Linked DNA regions of Macaca fascicularis. The main gene of each other region encodes a partner of the protein of the gene in region 2 in a complex. Links are inferred from orthologs where the notes say so. Each region holds a gene or a part of one and is shown on either strand. Other genes may lie near its edges.

What was found. Proteins that work in one complex are often made in the same cells at the same time.
Region 1: MED23 (region 2) and MED4 share a complex: the UniProt entries of both Homo sapiens proteins name them as parts of the mediator complex. The link is inferred for Macaca fascicularis from reciprocal best matches to the Homo sapiens genes MED23 and MED4.
Region 3: MED23 (region 2) and MED31 share a complex: the UniProt entries of both Homo sapiens proteins name them as parts of the mediator complex. The link is inferred for Macaca fascicularis from reciprocal best matches to the Homo sapiens genes MED23 and MED31.

What each region holds. Positions count from the first base shown.
Region 1 is NC_088391.1:27,212,675-27,216,702, forward strand, and holds the start of MED4 (mediator of RNA polymerase II transcription subunit 4), read right to left. Parts: upstream 2,810-4,028; 5' UTR 2,784-2,809; coding exon 2,659-2,783; intron 1-2,658. UniProt on the Homo sapiens protein: Component of the Mediator complex, a coactivator involved in the regulated transcription of nearly all RNA polymerase II-dependent genes.
Region 2 is NC_088378.1:35,602,941-35,606,974, forward strand, and holds the start of MED23 (mediator of RNA polymerase II transcription subunit 23), read right to left. Parts: upstream 2,810-4,034; 5' UTR 2,622-2,809; coding exon 2,583-2,621; exon of another isoform or gene 2,366-2,582; intron 2,241-2,365; coding exon 2,209-2,240; intron 2,052-2,208; coding exon 1,964-2,051; intron 1-1,963. UniProt on the Homo sapiens protein: Required for transcriptional activation subsequent to the assembly of the pre-initiation complex. Component of the Mediator complex, a coactivator involved in the regulated transcription of nearly all RNA polymerase II-dependent genes.
Region 3 is NC_088390.1:6,692,427-6,696,525, reverse strand, and holds the start of MED31 (mediator of RNA polymerase II transcription subunit 31), read left to right. Parts: upstream 1-1,290; 5' UTR 1,291-1,343; coding exon 1,344-1,371; intron 1,372-2,157; coding exon 2,158-2,235; intron 2,236-2,514; coding exon 2,515-2,611; intron 2,612-4,099. Other genes in the region: C16H17orf100 (uncharacterized protein C17orf100 homolog), read right to left, coding at 603-959. UniProt on the Homo sapiens protein: Component of the Mediator complex, a coactivator involved in the regulated transcription of nearly all RNA polymerase II-dependent genes.

The DNA of each region.
Region 1 (4,028 bases), on a different chromosome or scaffold from region 2:
AGGAGGTACACTGGGGAGAGGAAAGCAAAGTGAGGATATAGCAGCCAGGTGGCTAGGGGTAAGATTATGTAGGACCTTACAGTTATGGTAAAGATTAATGTTTCGTTCCATATTCAATGAAAAGCCACTGGATCATTTTAAACAGGGAAAAGGCATGACCTGATTTACACTTTTAAAAACTGCTGAGCGATTTGGTAAATAGACTGTAAAAGGGCCAGAACAGGTGGTTTTTGTAGTGTTCCAGGCAAAAAATGACTGGTTTTGACTAGGTCATAGCCTCCAGGACTTAGTAATGGTGATGGGAGAAACATAGACAGATTTCAGATATCTTTTGGAGGTAGAGCTATCAGGACTTGCTGATGGATCAACAGTGTATGAAAACAGCATGTTACGTAAACTTTTTCGTGTATGCCACTGAGACACAAACTGTTGAGAACCTCTAGTCTAAGTAAAAGCTGGTTTCAGGTGGGGCAGGGGTGGTGCTGACTGGAGTGGGGCTATGGTAGGAGATGTGGGATAAGCCTTCCTCTGTTCTTGCAAATCTGGGAGTATGAGTCCACAGAAGGCTTTACAAGGCTTGCCATAGGCACAGGAGTACAGGTGAGGTAGAAGTCTCTGACACAGGAGTAGAGGGGAGGTAGAAGTCTCTAAGACTTAGTCATGTTCTGTAACAGTCCAAGACGAAGTAGAAACCTCTGTCCTCCCCATTTGTGAAAAAGAGGCCAAAGGAAGGCCCATACTCACTCTCTGGTTAAAGATGTGGAAGTAAGAGCCCTGTCCTGCTACAAGGAAGGTGCATTCCTGGCATACTGCATTAGAATCCAGCCACAATTCCCCATAGAAATAAAATTTCCATAGGGGTTAGAGCCTACATTATTAGTGGTAATACACTTTTCAGGTAAAGAGAATTAACAGGCTGGTGTGGAAACCTCAAGACTCCTATCAACATGATTCCGTGAGTTTTCAGTTACAAACGGGTTAAGAAAAACGTTTAGACTACAACCTGTGTTTCAATTGTTTAAGACTGTCTCCTTGCATTACATTTTACAAAGTAATAAATATCCTGAAAGGGTACATAATCAGGTTAATAGAAAAAAAAAAAAGATCCTAAGTTATAAATCCACTATTTTTTAAAGCCAAGAGGCTCAACCTAAAAATATGTAAGGTACATTCGTGAATTTTCTTCTCATTTCCATAAATGCAAGCCAGACACAAATTACATTCAGAGACTGACAAATTACACAGATCACAGAATCAGCACACATAACTATGTCTGAGTGAGCACATGAGACTTTTCTGGAAGCCAGTCACACCACCAGAGCAGCTTCATTCTGTGAAGAAATTCCAATGATCCGCTCGCCTCGGCCTCCCAAAGTGTTGGGATTACAGGCGTGAGCCACCACACCCGGCCATAATACAGTTTATTTTAAACAGTGGATCAAACACATAAGTCATTTAATTTCTGGAGTCTATTTGTTTTAGGGTTTTCTTCCATCATTAAATATTGTGCTGACCTGGTAACTTGGTAGCAATACTATGGCAAGGACTAAATTTACACCAAAGATAAAGTGCTGATTATATCAGGTATATTTTAAAATACAACAGATAAGATTTATTCTAAAGTTGTCAAAGAATGTTGGCTACAGAAAAAGTGACATTTGGGCTGGAATCTGAAGGATATATGAATCATTCACCAAATCGGGGGAAGATTGGGAATGGCATTGAAGATGTGGAAGCCTGACTAAAGAATTTGAACTTTACCTCACTGGACAACGCAAATCTACCAATGAGGTAGGTTTTATATCATTTTTCTGCAGAAAAGTAATATAACATGCCTTTTAAAACTGATCTTGGCCAATATAAAAGGATACAGTGCAGAAGCATGAGGCAATTAAAACTGGGAGGCTGCATTTAAGAGTAGTTATGAACAGTGGGGTAGGAACGAGAGGACAAATGTGAGCAACATTTTAGGAGGTAGAACCAAGATAATTTACCATCCACGTCAATGGGAGGGAGTCAAGGAAGGCTTCAACTTGACTTATCATGAAAGGTGACAGAATATAAAGAATGACATTTAATTTCATCTCCTATCTCTGATACAAAACTTGCAACTCCACCAAGCCAGGCTTTTTGCACTTGCTGTTCCATCTACCTGTGCTGCCTAGTGAGTCTGGCAAGCTCACGCTTCCCAAACAGCCGTTTCTTCAGAGGGCCTGCCCTGATTACAACCAGAAAAGGTGCCTAGCCCCTGTGCTCCAGTACCCCGCAGCGCAGCGCTCTAATAAAAACAGGCTTCAAGGCAGTTTACACATCTGTCTCTCTCTCTCGACAGCCGGCATTCAGCCTACCCTGCACTACTGTCTCCCTAGTGCTTGGCACCCAAGGGGCGTTCCATAAATGTTAAGTGGCTGGCTGTGGACGAAGGGGCTCAGACCGCGCGAGTTCTTATCATTACTAAAATTCCCTCTAACGGGAAAAACCGCCGTCCAGAGTGCTGGAAGACTGCGGACCCCACGTCCGTGACCCTGGTGCACCCGAAACTCCCGAGCTGGCCCTCCCCGCCGAACCCCGAGAACGAGCACAAACGCTGGGCCGGCCGGCTCCGGGGGTCAGTCCCCCGGCCTAGCTCCAGCCCGGCTCTCAGGATCGCAGCATTACCTAGACAGGACCTCCAAATCCTCAAGCGCAGACAGTAGCCGCTCTCGTGTGCTGTTACCACTTGCCACTCCCAAGCCGCCTCCCAGCCTCTCTTTCTCCTTCTCACCACTCGAAGACGCAGCCATTTTCCTCACAGCCCCGCCGCCGGCGCACGCGCTGAGCGCGCTGACGCAGGGGCGTGGCGAGGAGGCGGGCTCGGAAGGCGGAAGAGTCATCCAGGAGAGGAAGAAGAGGCCCGGCGAGGGCGCCCCCTTTGCGCCCGGAGGGGCGCACTGCGGGCACCGGCGCCATCTGCTGGGCCAGCGAGGGCTTTTGGGTCCAAACCCTGGGAGCAAGGGCTGAACTGAGAACAGGGAGTGCAATGCAGTCTGATTCTCCTGGGCCTAATGTTTTGTTTTTTCTTTCTTTTCCTTCCTTCCGCAGTCTGATTCTCCTGGGCCTAATGTTTTGTTTTTTCTTTCTTTCTTTCCCTCCCTCCCTCCCTCCCTCCCTCCCTCCCTCCCTCCCTCCCTTCCTTCCTTCCTTCCTTCCTTCCTTCCTTCCTTCCTTCCTTCCTTCCTTCCTTCCTTCCGTCTTTCCTCTTTTTTTGAGACGAGTCTCGCTCTGTTGCCCAGACTGGAGTGCATTGTCGCAATCTCGGCTGACTACAACCTCCGCCTCTCGGGTTCAAGATATTCTCCTGCCTCAGTCTACCGAATAGCTAAGATTACAGGCGTGTGCCACCTCGCCCGGCTAATTTTTGTATTTTTAGTACAGACAGGGTTTCGCTATGTTGGCGAGGCTGGTCTCGAACTCCTGACTTCAATAGATCTGCCCACCTCGGCCTCCCAAAGTGCTGAGATTATAGACGTGAGCCACCGTGCCCGGCCCTGGGCATGATGTTTTTCAAGCAGCAATGAGAAGCTTCTATGAAGTGGTTTTTAAGACTTTGAGGGAATCACATAATGGTCTACATTATTATAAAAGACGGTCGGGGACTGCCTGACTCCCATGAGGCAGTCGTACCTGTGGTCCTTTCATTTCATGGTCTCATCCTCTGCTCTTTTTGGAGGTGCTAAACTTGACTCCTGGGCACCCAGAGTTGACAAGTCTTTCAGAAATTCGTGTTAAATAAACTCACTCATAGCGGCCCTGCGCGGTGGCTCAAGCCTGTAATCCCAGCACTTTGGGAGGCCGAGATGGGCGGATCACGAGGTCAGGAGATCGAGACTATCCTGGCTAACACGGTGAAACCCCGTCTCTACTAAAAAATACAAGAAACTAGCCGGGCAAGGTGGCAGGCGCCTGTAGTCCCAGCTACTCGGGAGGCTGAGGCAGGAGAATGGTGTAAATCCGGGAGGCGGAGCTTGCAGTGAGCTGAGATCCGGCCA
Region 2 (4,034 bases):
AAGAAACTACCATCAGAGTGAACAGGCAACCTACAGAATGGGAGAACATTTTTGCAATCTACTCATCTGACAAAGGGCTAATATCCAGAACCTACAAAGAACTCAAACAAATTTACAAGAAAAAAACAACCCCATCAAAAAGTGGGCAAAGGATATGAACAGACATTTCTCAAAAGAAGACATTCATACAGACAACAGACACATGAAAAAATGCTCATCATCACTGGCCATCAGAGAAATGCAAATCAAAACCACAATGAGATACCATCTCACACCAGTTAGAATGGCGATCATTAAAAAGTCAGGAAACAACAGGTGCTGGAGAGGATGTGGAGAAAAAGGAACACTTTTACACTGTTGGTGGGATTGTAAACTAGTTCAACCATTATGGAAAACAGTATGGCGATTCCTCAAGGATCTAGAACTAGATGTACCATATGACCCAGCCATCCCATTACTGGGTATATACCCAAAGGATTATAAATCATGCTGCTATAAAGACACATGCACACATATGTTTATTGCGGCACTATTCACAATAGCAAAGACTTGGAATCAACCCAAATGTCCATCAGTGACAGACTGGATTAAGAAAATGTGGCACATATACACCATGGAATACTATGCAGCCATAAAAAAGGATGAGTTTGTGTCCCTTGTAGGGACATGGATGCAGCTGGAAACCATCATTCTCAGCAGACTATCACAAGAACAGAAAACCAAACACTGCATGTTCTCACTCATAGGTGGGAACTGAACAATGAGATCACTTGGACTCGGGAAGGGGGACATCACACACCGGGGCCTATCATGGGGAGGGGGGAGGGGGGAGAGATTGCATTGGGAGTTATACTTGATGTAAATGACGAGTTGATGGGTGCAGCACACCAACATGGCACAAGTATACATATGTAACAAACCTGCACGTTGTGCACATGTACCCTAGAACTTAAAGTATAATAATAATAAATAAATTAATTAATTAAAAAAATAAAAAATAACAAGAAAGGAAGGAACAAGTAACTCTTGGACTGATAGGGAATTACCTTTAGATTATTATTAGGAGGAAAAAAGTGCTAATTAATTAACAGTGTACATGGTATATGATCATGCTATAAAAGTGTTTCTATACGCATAAAATACTTCTAGAAGAAAACATAACTTGAGGATATTGGCTAGAGACAGAAAAAAGAACAGGTAAGAGAAGAGAGAGACTAGTTATTGGATCCACCCTTTTTATACCTGTGCATTTTGAACCATATGAATGTATTACCTATTAGAAAATAATTAAACAAAAGGTTAAAACATGACTGTATTAGCAGTATATGATCCATGTCTGGAGTGGCAAATCTTATCACCAGTGGCTGACACACAGTTCTCATTTCCCTACCCATAATACACCATGAGAAGGTAAGGCACTACTGGAATGTGAGCTCTTCGAGGATGACACATTTTGTCTTTTTTACGGATACATTTTCTGGTAGCTGTTCTTTGTTACTTTTACAGTTTGTTTCCTCATTTTTACTATAATATCTTCCTATCGTTATTATAGAATCTTGGTATTCCTATTGTAGCATCTTTGTATCAATGCTGTGCCAATTCCTTTATTAAGTAAAACAAATGGAATGTGTATCTTTGACAAGTAAAGCTTAACACATCTGTTTTCAAGTGTACCAAATAAATCCGAATAGGATGAAAATGATCTTAATTAATCTAACATAGGGGAGTTTTTTTCTTTTTAACGTTGCACACTGTGCAGTATCAACTTGACTTCTCAACATAGGTTTTCCACCGAAATATACAAATTAAAACAAACGTAAGCCAGAATAAAAAATGATGACAATTTTATTTCTTCCTTCTCAGGAAGATCTTAAGAGCAACATCAAAGTAAATGTTAAAGGAAAAAAAAAAAAAGAAGGGGGCAAAAATCATCAGCTGAATGTATTAAAAATGAAGTGCTCACCTGAGAAAGACCACCCCAAAACTGTCTGAAGGCACCCAAACAGCTAATTAGTTTTGTTTTCTCATCTTCAGGAGTATCCATAAACATGCTAAAAAAATAAAAATTACATTATTTGTCATTCGTTTTAAAAAGGTAATTACACACAATCAGAATAGTGGATCTTAGAACCTTCCAACACGAAACTAAGTAAAATCTGACAGATACAATCACATGAAAACACAAAAATCCGCCACGCATACACTCACCCAGGAAAAGCCTCTTCTATAACTTCCGTTTTCTGTAAAAAAAAAACAAACAAACAAAATGTAAACAATGTTAATTTTTAAAAGGCGCCTCCCTTAGCCAAGTATTACAATGTAACACAGGACAAGTCACCTTAATCAGCTCTGAAACTATCAATACCTGTCGGGCCTGTCACTGTATCGATTTCAAAGGATACAATGAACTTGACAGCAGTTTGAGAATCACTAAACCTCCCCGCACACAACCTCGATGTCAAAACAAGAGAATAAAAAGGGAAGCGTGAGACGAAGTTGCCCGGGCCAGCTTCCTTGGTCTGCTGCCCCCGCGTCTACCCGTCCCCGAGCCGTAGTCCTGGATGGCCGGCAGCTGCACTCACCACCACCTCTTCGAAAATGCTCTGCAGTTGCGTCTCCATCTGTACTATTACCCCCGCCTTTCCGGGGTGCCCGGTAAGGCCCGGGTCAGACCCGAGCTCTGGGAATATATGGGGCGAGGGTCGGAGACCGCCGGAGGAAACCGTAGCTCTCCGACGTCGCTTCCCTCCCCCAGTGCTTTACCGGGGAGCCTTCCCTCCGCAGCCCAACCAACTGGAGGAACCTGTACGGAAGACCGGAAGGGCCCGGTACGCTCTGTTTGCAAACCCCGCAGAAACCAGCGGCGCCGCCAGACGGTTCCGTCTGTGGAGAAGGGCAGCCCGCAAGCCGGACGAGAGCGCCCCCAAACGGAACCTTGAGCCCAAGGACCCCGGAGGCGTCATCGACCGCAGGCCGCCACCTCCCGGCTGGAGAAGGAGTTGCTTCCTGCTCGGGACTAACCCGTTTGCAGACTGGGAAATGAAAAGCTTGAAACCCAGAGGCTGCAGCCTGCGGAAAATGCTGGAGCCGCAGCTGATGTCTGTGAGCAGCTGACCTTCTGGACCTCCATCAGCGGCCTGCAGCCAGGAGCTGAAGCCACAGAGACGGTGCTTGTCAGCTATGATAACCTCAGTGCAAATGTGATTGACTGACTTTTGAATGCCAAACCAATTTTGCTTCTATGGTATAAATGCTACTTGGTCATAATATATTATCCTTTTAAATGTATTGCTGGATTCTATTGGCAATATTGTTGAGAATACGTGTTTTTCTTCATATGCCACCGTCATCACCAACCCCTAAAACATCTGTTATGCCTTTTCGATGATCAGCTTTCTTTACCTCAAAAAGAAAATTGTTGATGAGGGTCATAGACATGCAAAGGGCCTTTCACTTCTTTGTGAAATGCCACAAACTGCTAAGCATGAACTACTCCTTTGTAGCTGCTAAGTGATGAGCTGATGAGTCCCCATTAGTGGTTTTGTTATACAAGTCTCTGACCTGGCATAAATTTAGTTTTCTAACAACTTTAACATGCACATGCAACCATCGTTGCCCACACAATAGCTACTAAAAGCTTAAAAGAAATAATTCAGATTCCCTGCTGGAGAAAAACTTGAAGAGTTAGGCTTCGTATATTGTTTGCTAGGGTTGCCATAACAAAATGCCACAGACTGGGTGGCTTAAACAACAGAAATTTCTTTTCTTGTAATTCTGGAGGCTAGAAGTCTGAGGTTGAGGTTGGTAGGGTTACTTTCTATAGAGCCCTCTGTCCTTGGCTTGTAGATGACCTTCTTCTCCTTGTGTCTTCACGTGGTCTTTCCTTTGTACATGGCTGTGTCCTAATTTTCTCTTCCTAGTAGGACACCAGTCAGGTTAGGGCCCATATAGCTACTCTAAAGAGCTTTAGTTCAGTTGAAGAAGTAGACATTTTAAACCGTAATATAGTGTAATATGTGCAATACTAGTGGTGC
Region 3 (4,099 bases), on a different chromosome or scaffold from region 2:
TTCTAAGATTATTTTTGCTTGCTAGTGGGTTTACTGTCATTTTTAACTACATCTAACCTACCTTTAAAAAGTGTATGGATGGGAGTGCCAGGTACAAAGACTTAGTTAGCATAAAGAAAACCACCAGTTACCTTGAAACATAAACAAAGGCCATTAATAATTTATGAGTCTGTTCCTTGCCCCTCAAGTTTCTAGCAGGCATGGAATCATTCCACAGGTCATGATTTCAGTTTGGTCTCTGTTCCTAAGGGGTGAAGGTCTTCTGAGGGCTGTGGATCCCAAACTCACCTGGCTCAGAGGCTCAAACAGCCTCTTTGTCCATCAAGCCAATTTAGACAGCATCCTGGGCATGAAAATCTTTTGTGCTGGCTTCAAGTGAAAATAGTTCACTGGGTCAAAAGTAGGCTGGTCCAAGACGCAGGATGGTCAATAAACGTTGGCTGTGTTCAGAAACTGCGGCTTGGCTGTTTCTTCCATTGATTTATGGTTTGTTTCCATGAAACCGAAAATGATTGGTCCACCTGGCAGCTGGCTGGCAACTGGAGGCCTTTCTGTCCTGGCTGAGGGCCCTGGCCCCTTGGTGGCCTTTGGGAAGCAGCATCTCATCGGGCCGGTTTTTCGTTCTGGCGGGCGGCCGGCTTGGCCCGCGGGGCTGGGCTCTCCGCGCAGTGCAGAGCCGTCTCCACCCTCAGGGACGAGGCCCTGATGTGGCGGGAGGTCGTTTCCGTGCGCTGCGAGGAGGATTCCACGTGCCGGGAGGACGCCTCGAGGATGCCAGGGAGCCGCTTCCCCAAGGGGGAGAGGGAGGGCCCCTCGCTGCGGCGCTGGGAGGTCTCCACCCGCCGGGACGACGTCTCCACGCGGTGGGACGAGGTCTCCACGCGGACTGTGGACGTCTCTGTGTAGCGGGTGGTCCCCACCCGGGGAGAAGACTGCTTGGCCCCTCGGGCTGAGGCCATTCTGCCGGCGTGAGGGGGCCAAGGAGGCCTCGGGGCACCCCCCAGCCCAACGGTCACCGCAGGCAGAAGAGAGGAAAACTACGGTACTGCCATAGCCGGGAGCGCCACAACACGATGACGTGGAAACACCATGATCCTTCCAAGGCTAAAAACACTGGGCTCCTGCCCCTCAGGCGCTCCCACGGCCCGGGCCCCGCCCGCTCGCTATTTTGAAGCCAGCGCGGGTGGAGCCATCCCAGGGCTGGCGGGATGGGCGGAGCCGCCCGGCCCCATATCCCACAGTGCCCCGGGACCGGAAGAGAGAGCCGTGGTTTCCGGAACTTCCCCCGCCACTCTGGGCTTTTGCTCGGTCAGGCTGGTGGCGTTTTGGTGTCTTCGTTTGTTATGGCCGCTGCCGTCGCTATGGAGACAGGTGAGTAGCTCTCTGATCTTGGAGTCTTCGCAGATGGAACTCCCCTCGGTCCAGACGGCTTCCCCGTGGCCTCCTTCCAGGCCTTAATCTCGGCAGGGTTAATATTTGGACAAGGAGGTGAGAAGGCTCTTGTAGCTTCTAGAAAGACTAAGGTACTCTTTGCAGTTTTCCTAATTTGGTTTGTTCGCACATCTTTGCTATTCAGACACCACCCTACCAGCTCCCCGGCGTGGGTGAGACTAAGGGAGAGGACTTGTGTGTTAAACCGTCTCCTCCTTGATTGGTTTTCTGCTTCTCACATGAGCTTGCCTAAGTTTGAAATATCGTCGCCGGACTTTATGTGTCATTCTGCTACTGGTGCTTCTTATATGCATACGCTCCATGATCTTTTAGGCTCTACGCAGTCTCTTGCATCCTAACTTTTTCTTAACTGATTCAGCACGTAGCTTTTGCAAAACTTAATCACTGTTAACAATTGTTATAACGCATTATTAACATAGGGGAAGCCATAGTTGTTACAGCCTACCTTAGTGATCTTAGGAATTCTCCGTTTGTGTTGCTGCTTTCTTTGATGATTTCTCTTTAATTTTAGAGAAACTTCTAACTCCTTTTAATCAGGGCTCCGCTTTTCTTAGATTTCGAAGAAAGGTTTATCTCCCCCAACTCCCAGTTTAGGAAGACCATCTCGGCATTAGTCAGGTTTCTTTATTGCTGTTTCCTTACTGCAAATCAGTATTATATACAGTGACCCTTACTTTCCATGATTTTTGCTGTCTTGTCTCCTAGATGATGCTGGAAATCGACTTCGGTTTCAGTTGGAGTTGGAATTTGTGCAATGTTTAGCCAACCCAAATTACCTTAATTGTAAGTTGTTAAGCACCTCATTAAATTGAGTAGCTACTAATGATTTCTGACAGAAGAGTTGCAATTCAAAATAGTATCTACTTTTACACATTCTCAATTGAATGATATTACACTTATGCTGGTATATAGATATAATTGCGCACTGGGATTTGTGTTTTGAATTCAATGTGTGTTGGTGGTGGGGGTTTTATGTAAATAGATCCTTTACATTAGGGGTAACAAAGCATAGTTTAAAGATTGGTTTGACCTACAGACATTTTTTTTTTTAATGCTTTTCAGTTCTTGCCCAAAGAGGTTACTTCAAAGACAAAGCTTTTGTTAATTATCTTAAATACTTGCTTTACTGGAAAGACCCAGAATATGCCAAGTATCTAAAGTAAGTTTAATTTTTATAATCCTAAGCATGTGTATACTTTATGATATGATAGATTTCTTCGTTTCACATTGGCAAAAATGTATTTGGAATCTCTCCACTTCTTTTCGTTGTCACCATCTTAACACAAGACAGTCTCATCTCTAACTTGTATCACTGCAGTAATCTACTCCCTGGTTATCTCTGCTTCCACTTTTACCTTCCTGCCCCCCCTCCACCCCAAACCAAACCAAGCAAAACAGCTTTCTACACAGAAACCAACTTAGTCATTTAAAAATATAAATCAGAACACTTTACTTTCTTGCTTAGAACCTTTCCATGACTTTCCATACCATGCAGAATAAAATCCAGTCTCTTTTCTTGGGCTAAAGCCCTATATGATCTGGCCCTGCCTTGTCTGACCTTGTCTTTCACCACCCTCCCCATCTCACCAGGTTTCTGGTCCCGAAGAACTCACAGTCTGTAAATGAAGTGACATAAGCCATGGGCTGAAATTAAAAGAGGGTATCTGTAAGGAAGGTGTTTCTGGGGTTATTTGGAGGAGGTGATCTTAACCTGAGTCTTAGAGTTGCTATCTTTTATTTAAGGCCTCTTATGTGCCAGAAACAGTGCTAAATGCTTCATATGCATTAACTCATTTATATATATATATATATATATTTACCATTCAGGTCATTCAGCGACACTTTCGTGTTAAGGCTTACTGAATTGCAAGAAGCATATAACCACAAACCTATTCCCTTTTAATGATTAAAAAAAAAAAAAAAAAACAACACCTTGAACTCATCCCTGCTTTGTGTTAAGCAGGTAGAAAGCAATAGTGAACCTTAAAAAAAAAAAAGTTTGAGAGGAAAATGTTTCAAACTTGTTTCGAAGTCACTTTTCTGTGTCCAATAACAATTGACTCACGAAGCATATACATCTTATATTGCCTGCAGGACCCTTTGCACCTTTTCTGGCTTTTTATCCATTTAATAATCCAAAGAAAAGACTTTTAAGAAAAATAGATTTCAACAAATGTTGTATGTATGTAGATTTACAGACTCAGTGTTGGAAGCCTCAGCCACCAACACGTTTAATCTTACCCACAGCGTTGCCGAGAGATGGTCACCTACCCTCTGGAGGTTTTCACTGAGCCCATGTTACTCTGTCAGGGACAGCTGATTTGACTGTTAGCCAGATGGTAGAAAGTTATTCCTTATATTGTGATATAATGTCTCTCCTTGTAGCTCTAGTCTGATTGTAGTGTTATCCTTCATCTATCTGCAGTCACATGAAGTCTATTTGTCCCACTACTGGTGACATTAATTTTGATAACTTGGTTGTCCCTGGATTGAGCTAGAACCATTCTATACCCTCTTGAGGACAACAACCTTCCAGATACTTACATTCAAGAGAGATTGCAGATTAGCCCCTTTTGGGCATTTTATTCAGTCTGCAGAAGATTTTAGTTTTGTTTTTTTTTTTAATACTTGCCAACATTTGAAGATC